Yarrowia lipolytica: one gene and its partners. Each later gene encodes a partner of the first gene's protein in a complex. Links are inferred from orthologs where the notes say so. Each region holds a gene or a part of one and is shown in the gene's direction. Other genes may lie near its edges.

What was found.
Region 2: YALI1_A21565g (region 1) and YALI1_F23368g share a complex: the UniProt entries of both Saccharomyces cerevisiae proteins name them as parts of the mitochondrial large ribosomal subunit. The link is inferred for Yarrowia lipolytica from reciprocal best matches to the Saccharomyces cerevisiae genes MRPL40 and MNP1.
Region 3: YALI1_A21565g (region 1) and YALI1_E29617g share a complex: the UniProt entries of both Saccharomyces cerevisiae proteins name them as parts of the mitochondrial large ribosomal subunit. The link is inferred for Yarrowia lipolytica from reciprocal best matches to the Saccharomyces cerevisiae genes MRPL40 and MRPL17.

What each region holds. Positions count from the first base shown.
Region 1 is NC_090770.1:2,153,799-2,158,413, forward strand, and holds YALI1_A21565g (mitochondrial 54S ribosomal protein uL24m), read left to right. Parts: upstream 1-2,705; coding exon 2,706-3,611; downstream 3,612-4,615. Other genes in the region: YALI1_A21550g (uncharacterized protein), read right to left, coding at 1-1,199; YALI1_A21554g (uncharacterized protein), read left to right, coding at 1,544-2,093, 2,153-2,193. UniProt on the Saccharomyces cerevisiae protein: Component of the mitochondrial ribosome (mitoribosome), a dedicated translation machinery responsible for the synthesis of mitochondrial genome-encoded proteins, including at least some of the essential transmembrane subunits of the mitochondrial respiratory chain.
Region 2 is NC_090775.1:2,335,401-2,339,039, forward strand, and holds YALI1_F23368g (mitochondrial 54S ribosomal protein bL12m), read left to right. Parts: upstream 1-1,454; coding exon 1,455-1,519; intron 1,520-1,671; coding exon 1,672-2,098; downstream 2,099-3,639. Other genes in the region: YALI1_F23351g (mitochondrial 54S ribosomal protein uL14m), read left to right, coding at 1-112; YALI1_F23364g (uncharacterized protein), read right to left, coding at 763-1,072, 1,139-1,164; YALI1_F23391g (uncharacterized protein), read right to left, coding at 2,618-3,639. UniProt on the Saccharomyces cerevisiae protein: Component of the mitochondrial ribosome (mitoribosome), a dedicated translation machinery responsible for the synthesis of mitochondrial genome-encoded proteins, including at least some of the essential transmembrane subunits of the mitochondrial respiratory chain.
Region 3 is NC_090774.1:2,959,780-2,963,818, forward strand, and holds YALI1_E29617g (mitochondrial 54S ribosomal protein mL46), read left to right. Parts: upstream 1-1,901; coding exon 1,902-2,759; downstream 2,760-4,039. Other genes in the region: YALI1_E29611g (uncharacterized protein), read right to left, coding at 913-1,377; YALI1_E29642g (uncharacterized protein), read right to left, coding at 3,180-4,039. UniProt on the Saccharomyces cerevisiae protein: Component of the mitochondrial ribosome (mitoribosome), a dedicated translation machinery responsible for the synthesis of mitochondrial genome-encoded proteins, including at least some of the essential transmembrane subunits of the mitochondrial respiratory chain.

The sequences.
Region 1 (4,615 bases):
TGTTTTGTCTCCCACAATTCAATCTCGGCTTGCAAGTCTGCTACAACCTCTCGAAATCTCATGACGCTCTGTTCAAGGTTCTGTTGGCGATTATGTGCATCGTTGGTTCGTTTCTCGGCGTGATTCAGCTCAGATTCCAGATAGGCGATTTCCTGGTGAAGTTGCTTCTGTGTGGCTACGTGACCTGCCTCTAACTCATCATTCAGCTCCTTAAGCTCCTCCAGCTCGGCCACTGTAGCCTGCAGCTTCTCCACTGACTCTGTAAGAGCCAGGTTTTTCTCCGTCAGAGAATCGATCAGCGTCTCGGACACCATGACATCATCCAGCTGGGCTCTCAGTTCATGTAGGGTAGCCTGGGTTTCCTCAAGCCGCTTCTCAGAGCTTTCCAGCTGCGATTGAGTCAATGAATAGTCTGTAAGTTTGGAGTTCAGTTGCTTGATCTGTTCATTGAGAGATGCCTCCTGAGCCGTAGAGTAGTCTCGTAGACTCACAAGAGCCGCTTCAAGCTGGGCGTTTCGTTGAATGGCAGCCTCATCAGCTGAGTCGATTCTCTCCGAAGGCACGTTGAGCTCTTGTCGCAGTTCCTCCATTTCTCGTTTGGCAATCTCCAGCTTTTCTTCTGCCATTTCTCTGTCAAGAGTAGCCATCTCCAAAGCGTCTTCGTGCTGTTCCAGCTTCACCTTGGCATGGGCATGTTCATTGGAAGTCTTGGTGAGATCGGCGCGTAGCTGCTTGACCTCGTCACTCAGGGGACGCAGTTTACTCTCCAGCTTGGCGACAATTGTCTCGAGTTTCTTTTTTTCACGCAAATCTGTCTGAAGTTGCTGAATTTGTTCTCGCTCAAGCTTTCTTTTGCTATCTGTGACACGTAGCTTGGCCTTGAGACTCTCCACCTGCTTGGCCAAAGCTGTAGACGAGTCTGAGACGTCTGACATGGCCGACTGGGGTCGTTGAGACGGTCTAGGCACCTCTGGAGGCGGCATGAGGTCTGCGTCTGTCTCCACTTGTGGTCGTCTCACAAACTTTCCCGATGTTCCTTTGCATTCAAAGTACCGAACTCCCTGGACGCTGCCGTCATTGTTTCCCTGTCCCTCAACCATTTCCACTCCAATCCACTCTCCCGTGGAGAACTGAGTGGGTCCGATGAATCGGACGTGCGCCGGCACTCCCTTGACCCGCACGCGATCTCCGACTTTCATGTGTGCAAGTATCGTACAGTAGCAGTGGTGCTCGTGATGTGTCGCAGTGTCGTGGAGGTAGATATTCGGACTGCATGCCGACGGTAAATGAAATATCCTAAATTTGTTAGTTAGTTAGTTAGCATAGTTAAGTACTTCTGGTAGCTATAACACCCTATAAAATAACGGCCCGACACGTGATTTTGGCGTACTAAATTCTATGTAGTTTTCTCGCCCATATCAACTTCCAAATCGACTCTTCAGGACCTCACTTTTGCTACTTGTAGATATGATTATTCTGCATTCGCCATCTATAAACAAATCCCATCCACCAACCTACATTACAATACATGTATGCGTAGACAATGCACAACGAGTTTAGGCTAAAACGCGTCTCGTTTATTCCCACAACCTATCACCACAGTACAAACACAACCCCCACAATCACCATAATGCAGTCGGCACGACGAAAACAGACGGCGTTCCCCTCTCGGGGCGTGGCTGCCACCAAGCGAGAATTATCTGCGGATCAACGACAAGAGATCCAGGAGGCCTTCGACCTGTTCGATGCCCATCAGAACCGAGCTCTGGACTTTCATACCCTCAGAGCAGCCATGCGAGCACTCGGCTTCGAGCTCAAGAAGGCTGAGGTGCTGCAGATTCTGGACGAGAACGACACGACACAGCAGGGCGTGATGACGTGGGAGGCGTTTGAGCAGGTTATGACACAGATGATTCTGGACCGAGACCCGCTGGAGGAGGTCAAGCGGGCCTTCCAGCTGTTTGACGAGGACAACACCGGTATTATCACTATCAAAAACCTGCGAAAGGTGGCCCGAGAACTCAACGAAAATATCGACGAGAGTGAACTGCAGGCCATGATTGAGGAGTTTGACCTTGACCAGGATGGAGGAAGTGAGTATGAGTGAAAGAGAGCTGATGGAGCATCACAAAGAAGAAGTCTACTAACACAGTCAATCTCGAGGAATTCATCGCCATTTGTACCGAAAACTAGCTTATTTAATCTAATGTATTTTTATCATCCACAGCTGGTGGAATTGTGTGGATGTACATGTGTTTAACGTATTAATTAAGTCTAATGCCATATACCGTATTTGAAGCATCCTTTATGTCTATTGCTGATCTTTATGATCGACCTACAAGTACTGTAGAAGTAGTTTGGTGGTATCCTTGGTTTTTGTCAGTCTTCTTACATAAGCAAACATGACAAGTCCCAGTGATATCTTCGGTGACATAAATAGAGTTTGGGAGAGGTAAAAAGTGCACGTGACGTCAAATTTTCGACGGCAACGATGACCACAAAATCAAGACTCCAGAGTGTATGAAAATCCGTAAATCAATGTGAAATAACCCGCTCTATATTTCCCACCTACTTCCTTTTTCTCAGCTCTCTCTGTGCGCCAATGAAATCGATCTGATGTTCATTTCTCTCGAACCCTCCCAACAGGGCAAGGGCCTGAAATTTTCATTTTCATCAGAACTCATACAAACCACCACCCTCACACAATGAGACCTACGCGGACGGTACTGAAATCGAGGTTCATCCACGACCCCAAGACCATCTACCCTCGGGTCCGTGTGGATCGGATCCAGCGGGCCACTCTCAAAAAGGCCCCCAAGTTCCAGCAGGTTCTGGCCAGCCATGCCGTTCCCGAGTGGGAGCGATTCACCAAGGAGAGCCAATGGCACTTTATGCCCGGCGACAAGGTCCAGATCCTGGCTGGCCCCGACAAGGGCAAGGTGTCTCAGATCATGGCTCGACACGAGGAGGGAAACTCTTACCTGGTTGATGGAGTCAACGGTACTCAGACCTTCCCAATTCCTCCTGCTATGGCCCAGGAAGGACAGACCACCCACGTGATCGAGTTCCCCAACCCTCTGAAGCAGTCGGAGCTGCGTCTGGTGGCCCAGCGACCTGAGGAGGACGGTACCACCACCGAGGTTGCTATTGCTGCCGTGGAGTGCGTGGGAACCTACTACGACCCTGCCTACAAGCGAGTGCTCCCCCGACGAGTCATGGCCCACGATCACAAGACCCAGGTGCCATGGCCCGCTCCTCTCGAGCCTGTCGAGCATGTGGAGGGCTCTACCGAGCGAGATGTGGCTCGAGAACGAACCCACTGGGTCACTTCTCTGGTCAAGCCTCCTTTCCCCATCGGAGCTCTGCCCGACATTCGAAACGTGCACCACAAGCGATTCAAGCGATTCTCCGAGCGAGAGGTCGATCTCCTCACAGCCCCCAAGCCCTTCATCCCCAAGGGCACCCCCGAGCTTTTCGCTCGACCCCAGCACAAGAAGCCTGAGAACAAGCTCACTGCTGAGATGGAGGCCTTCATTGGCAACGTCATGCAGAAGCACGCTGACGCCCAGGTGGGCCAGCATGACCGAGTCAAGGGCCTCAAGTATAAATAGTGTATATAGTAGCATGATAGCAATTTTCTGACTTGAAGAGCGTATGTAGGCCGTGAGTACGCTCTAGACCTGATGGCCTGACGTCGTCAAGTAACCTCGTTGTCGCGGACCGCGAGACCACGAAACCACGAAACCACGAGTTCTCCGGACCTATTTATCGTAATGAAATAGAGACATCTTGATCGTAGGCTTTTTTATGATCTCTGGACTACAAATCGCCCGCGGCCGTGTAGTCTAGTAAAGGAAGGATACTTGTATCGAAAAAGCGTACAGTAACAAGTTACTACTTGTAGTGGGTGCATAGTAGGTAAACCAGTCTAAAGTGTGTCTTCATAGGTGTCTCTTCGTCAACCCTTCGATGCACTCGAGAATGAAGTACAAGTAGTACAGAACTTGTAGAGTGATGAGCTCATGCACATGCCTTGTCTCGAGTATGAGGGTGTAAGCAGTGGTCTATCTGATAGTGGAGCAAGTAGAATGACTAAATTCTCAGATATCGTTTATCTCTAATCCATCTTACTAAATTCCAAGTCCGGCCAAATCTTCCTACTTTTTTCACGTACTTTTCATTATTGTATAGTAGTTACTCCTCAACTACCATCGGGAATTCCAACTATAAGAAGTGGACTACGACCACGCCCTCCAGACTCCATCCCTCACCTCTCAACTTCAAAACTGCTTATGTAAGAGGCTACCCAACAGCCCAGCAAAGAAATATGAGCTTAGACACTCATAAGTCTTCGTCTTGGACCTCTGTCTAACTCATTAGTAGTCAAAGCCTCTGTCTCAGAAACAATAACAGCCGTAGACTTGCTAACTACAGCACATTCTATATGAGTAACGTGCTTGTAACGTATTGGTAAATACTTGTAGAAAATGAACTACCGCCCAAACATGTTGTCCCCTCAGACTTTCACGTAATACGGTCTCGCGTCGCCCGGTCTGACCCTTACCTTCCCAGTCTGAAGTCAACCTCAAACTGCCCAATTTGCGAGTAGCTAATC
Region 2 (3,639 bases), on another chromosome or scaffold:
GATCAACGACGCCAACGAGCCCGTGGGTAACCGACTCAACGGAGTCGTTGCCAAGGAGGTGCGAGAGCGAGGCTTCACCAAGGTCGCTTCTCTGGCTCCCCGAGTCTTGTAATCTGTGCTTACCGTACCCGTACCGTAACCATGGCTTGTATATAGTATTTAAATGTTTGGTATTCACAAGCTGTAGTGTGGGATGGGTAGCTTGGAAACAAGGAGTGGTTGTAGTGCGAGTACAAGTAAGCCCAAGAAAGTAATTTATCGATGATTATAGATAATGAATGAATGTTGTCACAGATGTAGTTACAGCACTCGTACGAATACTTGTACCGTATGTACTTGTTCTGTGGGGATAGAGCTTGCCTCCATACTTCATCACTATCTTACTTCGTCACTATTGTACTCCATCATAGATTCAGCCATCCAGAAATAACATGTCAAAGTGCTATTTCGAGATAAGGAGCAACTCTTGTTTGTATCAACTTGAGGTTCCGTTCTAGAAGACGGTGTTTGATCAAGTAGAGAATCTCATAGCTATCGTCGTATGCCCTCAAAATGTCATCTCCACCCCATACCAACCAACGTCAGACCTCCTCCATTTTATGAGACAAAGTCTCACACGCCCTTCCCAATCCCCTGTGTTACAGCTCAACTTGGTCTCCGCCACCTATCCCTCCACCGCCTACGCCTCCACACAGATGCTCACGTCAAAACATAAATAATCCATTAACGAACCAATAATATACAACCCTCGAATAATCCCCTCTAAGACCGGAAAATGTTGTTGCAGTTGTTGCAGACAAAAAACAGAATCATGGTGGTCTCCGCACGCTTCTGTTGCGACTGGAAGAAGACCACATCGTGCTCGTGACACTTGGGACACTCCTTGTCGGATCGAGGCAGAGTGGGATCTGCTCCAATACCGGTTGTCACTCCGGCCGTCTCCTCAATGTTGGTGATCAGCTGATGCTTGAACACCAGAGGAGTGGATGCAAACTCCGTGTACGGACAGTTTCGGCATGCAAACAGCAGCTTTCTATCCTCCTTATCCTCTCTCGGATAGAGCATGTTGTTGCTGGGTTAGCGCTGGTCCTCGATCATTTCTCGTCCTCTCGTTATCTAGTTCTCTCTGATCACTCACCACTCGAGACAAAATCGCGACGTCATTTTGGTTCCGTCTTGTTCCACACACTGAGCTGTCGTCTGCTGTGTGTTTTTCAAAGCCCAGTGAAGATGGTGTTCTGCAGCTCTATGGCAAACTCTAAATGTGCGCACGAGTCTATTCTTCCCGTCTCTAATCCCCCTCCCTCTGACTACAAGTATAGTGATTGGGAGGTTTGGGACACCACAGTACAAGAGCAAGGCCGGGTAACCCTCCGTCACGCACCCTGAAAATTTGAAAACTCACCTACAGCAGCGTCTACACTGAGTCCATCTCAACCCCATACAACCGCACAATGTCTGCTCTTCGAATGTCTCTTCGAGTTGCTCGAGTCGCCCGTGTGGCTCGAGTTGGTGTTCGGTGAGTATTAATTGCGAGATTCACTCCTTGATTGTTTTTCTCGACATTGAAATCAAGCCAGATCACCAGCCAGATCATGTCATCAACTCACAAAAGCACTGATCTGAAGACGAAACGCTTCAAAAAAACCCACCCAGCTCCAACTAACACAGATTCAACTCCACCGCCGCCCCCGTGGACCCCAAGATCACCGCTATTGTCGACCAGATTGCCCAGCTCAACCTGCTGGAAACCTCGTCTCTGGTGACCGAGCTCAAGAGCCGACTCAACATTCCCGATATCTCTTTCCCCGCCGCCGGAGCCGCCCCCGCCGCTGCACCTGCCGCTGCTGCCGAGGAGGCCGCCCCCGAGCCCGTCGAGGAGAAGACCATCTTCAACATCAAGCTGGAGTCATACGATGCCAAGGCCAAGCCTAAGGTGATCAAGGAGATCAAGACCCTGCTCGGTCTGTCTCTGGTCGACGCCAAGAAGATTGTTGACGCCGCCCCCAAGATGGTCAAGGAGTCCGTCCCCAAGGAGGATGCCGACAAGATCAAAAAGGTGCTTGAGGATCTCGGCGCCAAGATTACTCTTGAGTAAGTGTATATAGTAACTCATTTTGAACCAGACAAAATACGAGTGCGAACCACGAGTATTGGATGCTCTTCTGGCTGGAGAACTGGAACGTAGTTGGAGTAGTAGTCGTTGTTGCCCTTATGGTACGGCTGTGATACGACAGAGTACTTTCAAGATGTAAAGCATGAAATACGACGAAGGAAATGTTTGCTTGACTGTTTAGATATGTTGACAATATCAATAGCCTTTCGGATAGTCAGATATCGGTACTGAAGCAGTGTGATTTCCTTGACCTAATCACTTACTCATATGTTACGTTGATGACATGATCTGAATGCCAATGGGCAACAGTTTCATATCTTCCAGCTGAAACATCTCAATTGCATCTACAACCGTCTATAATCACCAGGTGGTTGTACATTACTAATAAATTATTCTACATGTTGGTATGAACGCCGTCATTGGATAGCTACGGCTAGGCATACCAGAATCCCGTTTTTTTATCACCTCTTGATCTCGTTTTAAGCACCCACTACTCCTTCGTTAAAAGTCTGGGCTCATGCTCATGCTCTTCTGCCGTCTATTGTGGGCAGCAAGGCGTCTAGCGTAGCTAGGAGTTCCGAGTTCTGAGGGCGTGGCTGGAGTAACAGATCTCAACGACGACGACCGGGGCATCCGGGGAGTGGTCGGATGTTGTGGGGGGGGCTGCACGAATTGAGGAGCATACTGCTGTTGTTGAGACGGCGGTATCTGTTGTTGGGTGTAGGGACTCTGGTAGGGGCTGCTAGAGCTGTATCCCTGAGGACTAACAACACCAATGACACTTCTTCGGTTGGTTCTCTTGATGGCATGGATCTCTAGTTTCTTCTCGAGGATCTTGACGAAGGAGGAAAGAGCCACTAAATTGTTTGAGATGCCTTCTGAGAGGCCAGATTGGCCTGGTAAGTGGCACAGGGCAGTCATCTCCTCGTACATGGTATACAAGGACTCGTAGAGATCTGCATCCAAATTCTTCAATCGGTTCAGCGACATTTCAATGTCAATCATGTCCTCCGAGTGATCAAAGTTGGACATAGTGGACTGCCCAGTGTGTTGAGTTTGCAGAGGTTGTTGTATATGGGCTCTCTGATGCTCCATTTCCGACTCTATGGACTCGCACGATTCGCTGGACTCGTTTGATGCAAACGACGTGTCTCCATCTGCTCTGGAGACTCCCTCCTGTTCCGTTTCGGTGCCTGCCGAGTCTTCGGAGTTCTCATCATCTCCCTCCATCTCAGACTCCATGTTGAGACGTCTGATACGTTCTCTGAGAGCTCCTAACGCCGACCACGCCGAAGAGGGAGGCTCAATAGTCTCGGGCTCCAAATCACGCACGTCCCGCAACGTGGACGAGCGATGATGGCTCTTGTACGCTGGCTTACCACCTGCAGGGGACCCCGATCCAAGACCGCCCATGTATCCGTTGTTGAAGGCTGGAAATGAGTTGACGCTGGTCGAGTGGGTATGCGACGTGTGTGGACGACCTGCTGTCTGTGGTCTGTGCCCGTGAGATGTGTTTGGACGTG
Region 3 (4,039 bases), on another chromosome or scaffold:
CTACTAAATTACCCGGTAGAAGGTACATAAAAATCTGTGCTGTCTTGATCTGACTTTCTTCACTCCACACTTTTTGGAGCGGAAAACGACGGAATCTCCGAGTAATAAAGTGACACGGAGGTTAGCTGGCGCTACCTGAAGTGTCATCTCGTTAATCGGTCTTTTTGTCGGTTTCCAAGGTGTCTTTCTCTTCGACTGAAAGACACCACCCTTTCTCAAATGGTACGTTTTTGATGATGTTGGAGGCCACGAACGCGTTCGGAAGATGATGCAAAGTAGGGTGAGAAGGCATTTCCCTTCCCTGATTAATCCCAATCCTCTAAGAAGCACTGACGTTTGCTTTGTTTGTGGCATCTTTTACATGTCTCGACTTCTCTTACTAACTTCAGGTATGTTCCACTGTGTTTGCAACACCTTTAAGGATGAAAAACTTCTGTCAATCCCCTGAACTGGATTCCGCAATCAAGAAAATAGGTTTCCAGGATATGACGATTCGTGTCGCCTGATTTTAAACATGGCATCTCTTGTCTTTGTTGTTCCCTACTAACCTTAGCTATAGTAATCTATCCCTTAACTACTTTCTGTGAATGTGTGTGTCTTAAAGCTATTGCTGTCTTATGAGTGTAAGCAGTTGTATCGTATGAACCAGTATCCAGTACAAGTATCGTCTCTGGCGTGTATGATTTTATTACAGGTCCAATACATACATCTTCCCATAGATCGAGAGCTCCAAAGGTAGATTCCATCGACACCTTGGAGGTTGCATTCTACTTGTAGTACGTATATATCAGCTACCCTTTTTCGTTTGCAAGTACAGTTTTTAAGTCTCTACACAACCAAACATCATCTACTCTACAGCCAGCGTCCAAACACCATCTATCAATCTATACCTCGCGTTCTACCCTGTCATAACTACACCCGCTTGATATCCCACTTAACATCAGTGACGGACACCTCCTCACTGTTCTTCTCGTCGTAGTCAAACCACTCGCCCTCGGATAGATCCATCTCCTTGAAAGGTGTGCCAGACTCGCCCTTGCACTGGAAGTCACCGTCGGCTCGGAACTCCTTGAGCTCGAGACCTCGACAGTCGATCTGCAGAATCTCGGCGGGCTTCTTATCGTCGGCGTTGAGAGTTTTGCCTGTCTCGGTGAGGGTGGCAGACGACTCTCGCTTGCAGAAGCGGCACTTGAAGACGAAGTTGGCGTCTCCTCGACTGCCGCTGATGTCGCTCTTGTCCTGGGCGTTCATGGTGACCCAGTTTTCGTGGACCTCATGGCACGAATTGCACTCAATTTTGAAGGAGAACTCGTAGGGTAGCGTGGGTCCCAACTCTGTGACTCCCTGGAGCTCTGCGGAAAGAAATAGACCGAACATCGTGTCCTTCTAGTTGGTGTTGATGATCTAGATGTCGAAAGCGCACCCAAAAGTTTATACGCGGAGGTGTGATGTGATTGAGTGTAAATAAGTGTATGACATACTGGCAGTAATGGAGGTGTCAGATTGGAAGAAACAGTAATGAAATGTTGTATCCAATCTGAGTCTCTATGTTAAAATCTCTTTCAGATCCACTTATTACCTATACAAATATCGTGTGTTGTTGCATGGCTCACTTAGTGCTCAGCTGACTATACAACGCTGACGAGGTACGATCGTTGTACTCGTTACATAATCATAAGACCACTGGACCGCTGTTATTCTCAATACACTATTTCTAAAAAACGGAATATTCTACACTATGTGTGATATGCCCAATACCACATCACACTCACATTTTCCCTCCTTCATTTTATACCACATTGTCGCATCGTTCTCCTCCTACCCTAACCTTGTGAAATTTCAACCGCCAAAAGTTTGCACTGCATACGCTGTCACGATATATCTCACCCGCCATACTCAAGATGATTCGGGCTTTTTCGACAAAAAGCACGGCGTGGAACGCCGCCAAGGAGGCTGTTGCAGAGACCTCCGGCAAGAAGGCCGGACGTCTGACTGCCGAGACCCGGGCCAACATTTCCGGAGGCATGATTCTGTCTCGAATCCCCATCGTCACCTCCGAGCCCACTCCCTTTGCCAAGCAGTACTACGAGTACATGGATGGTCTCAAGCGCCGAATGATGTGGACCTTCCCCTCGTTTCTTTACTTCAAGCGAGGTACTCTTGCTGAGCGAAAGTACAGAGAGCTGAACAAGATCCCCACCCAGGCCCGAGACGGAGTAGTGTACCCCGAGGGTATTCCCGATGTGGTGAATCACCGAGAGCGAACAATGCCCCAGAAGATCGCCGTGCCCACCAAGGACAATGAGGGCTCTCGAGGCGCCAAGAAGGGCACCGAGGAGGGCGAGGAGGATGTGATCAAGCCCAACTCCCGAATCACTGAGGCCGACAAGCAGAACGACGTCAAGTCACTGGAGCGAAAGCTGGACCGAACCCTGTACCTACTGGCCCAGACCAAGAACGGCTGGCGATTCCCCTCGGTCGTTATCAACGAGAAGGAGACCATCGATGAGGCCGCCAAGCGAGGCATCCACGAGCTCGGAGGCCCCGACATGAACATCTGGAACGTGTCGCACACCCCCGCGGGCTTCTTCAAGAACGGCGACAAGCGAGAGTTCTACGTCAAGTCACACATTGTCCAGGGCGAGTTCAAGCCCAGCCGGGACGTGCAGGACTTTGCGTGGCTCACCAAGGAGGAGATCCAGGCTAAGGTCGACGACCAGTACTACCAGCAGCTGCATCCTCTTCTCAACTCGGTTTAAACTGCATCTGTCGACCGACCAACTGAGACCGCACACGAGGAAAAGACTAATGTATATATGTGTATATAGGGGGATGATGATTGAGTGATTGAATGAGTGTACGAGTACTTGTAGTGTATGTTGGTACATTATGACTGTAACATATACCGTAGCTAGCTGTGGTGTTTTAGTGAATGCAATCCGGTTCTAATATTATACTACATACACTTGTACTTGTACCTATACTTGTACTTGTACTGGTTTTATATTCTGTGCTGCAGACGAGGGTGTGGGAAATCCAGTGACTGTCGCACGCTCCGATAGCTAATCAGTATCTGTCAGTATGAGGGCTCGCTGGTTGCTCCGGTGTCATCCTCTCTTTCAAATCTGGCTTTAATGACTAGAGGATTCTTGTCGCACATGCCAGCCCGATTTCGGCATCTAGTAACCACTCGGCCTATTACCTCCTACAGTAATCACATTCAGACCCGCAACGTCCCCAGAAAATGCCAGGTTGTACTTCACCGGGCTCCATGCCACCACTGGGAGCCCTGTCCATCTCGGACGAGAAACAGCATGCACAAATTTTCCAGTGTCCACATGTACAATGTCCACAGGGATATCGTTGTTGTCATACCCGACGGCAATGTAGTCTCCATCATGCGAAAAATCGAGAGAAACGACCGGTTGGTCGTGCTTGGACAGTGTCTTGACACATACCAACTCTTTGGTATCCCACAACGAAACAATGCCTTCATTGCCACCCACAGCAATATAACGGCCTTGAGGATCAGGTTTGACACAGTTCGCGGCTGTTGTGTGTCCTAGAAGCTCAAACAGAGTGGTCACATTAGACGTGCTTAATGATTGGGAAGAAGTAACCACCTTTTCGACCTCTTCAGAAGTAGCAGCAGTCTGGAGATTCAGCTTGAGCAGCTTCACCACACCAATTCCCATTGTAATGGCCATGACAGCAGTTGTGTTTGTCCAAGTTGCCGCGAAAATTTCGTAGGGAGATTCCTTGTATGCAGCAATGGGGTTTCCAAACGCTTCCATTGCACCAATGGCGATCTTGGGTGCCCCTCGCGATCTTTGCGAGTCCTTTCCTCCATTCTGACGTCCTCCGATGTTTGTGCTGGGTGCTGGTTCAGCCACTTCTCCGTTGAAAGAAGGCGCGTACCACAGGATCGCATTGTCTCGTCTTAACACCGATATGTACCGACCACAGGGAGACCACAAGCAGGCTAGATTGTCGGCTCCGGTGTTCACGGATGCAAGCAGCGTTTTTGTTCTTGTGTCCC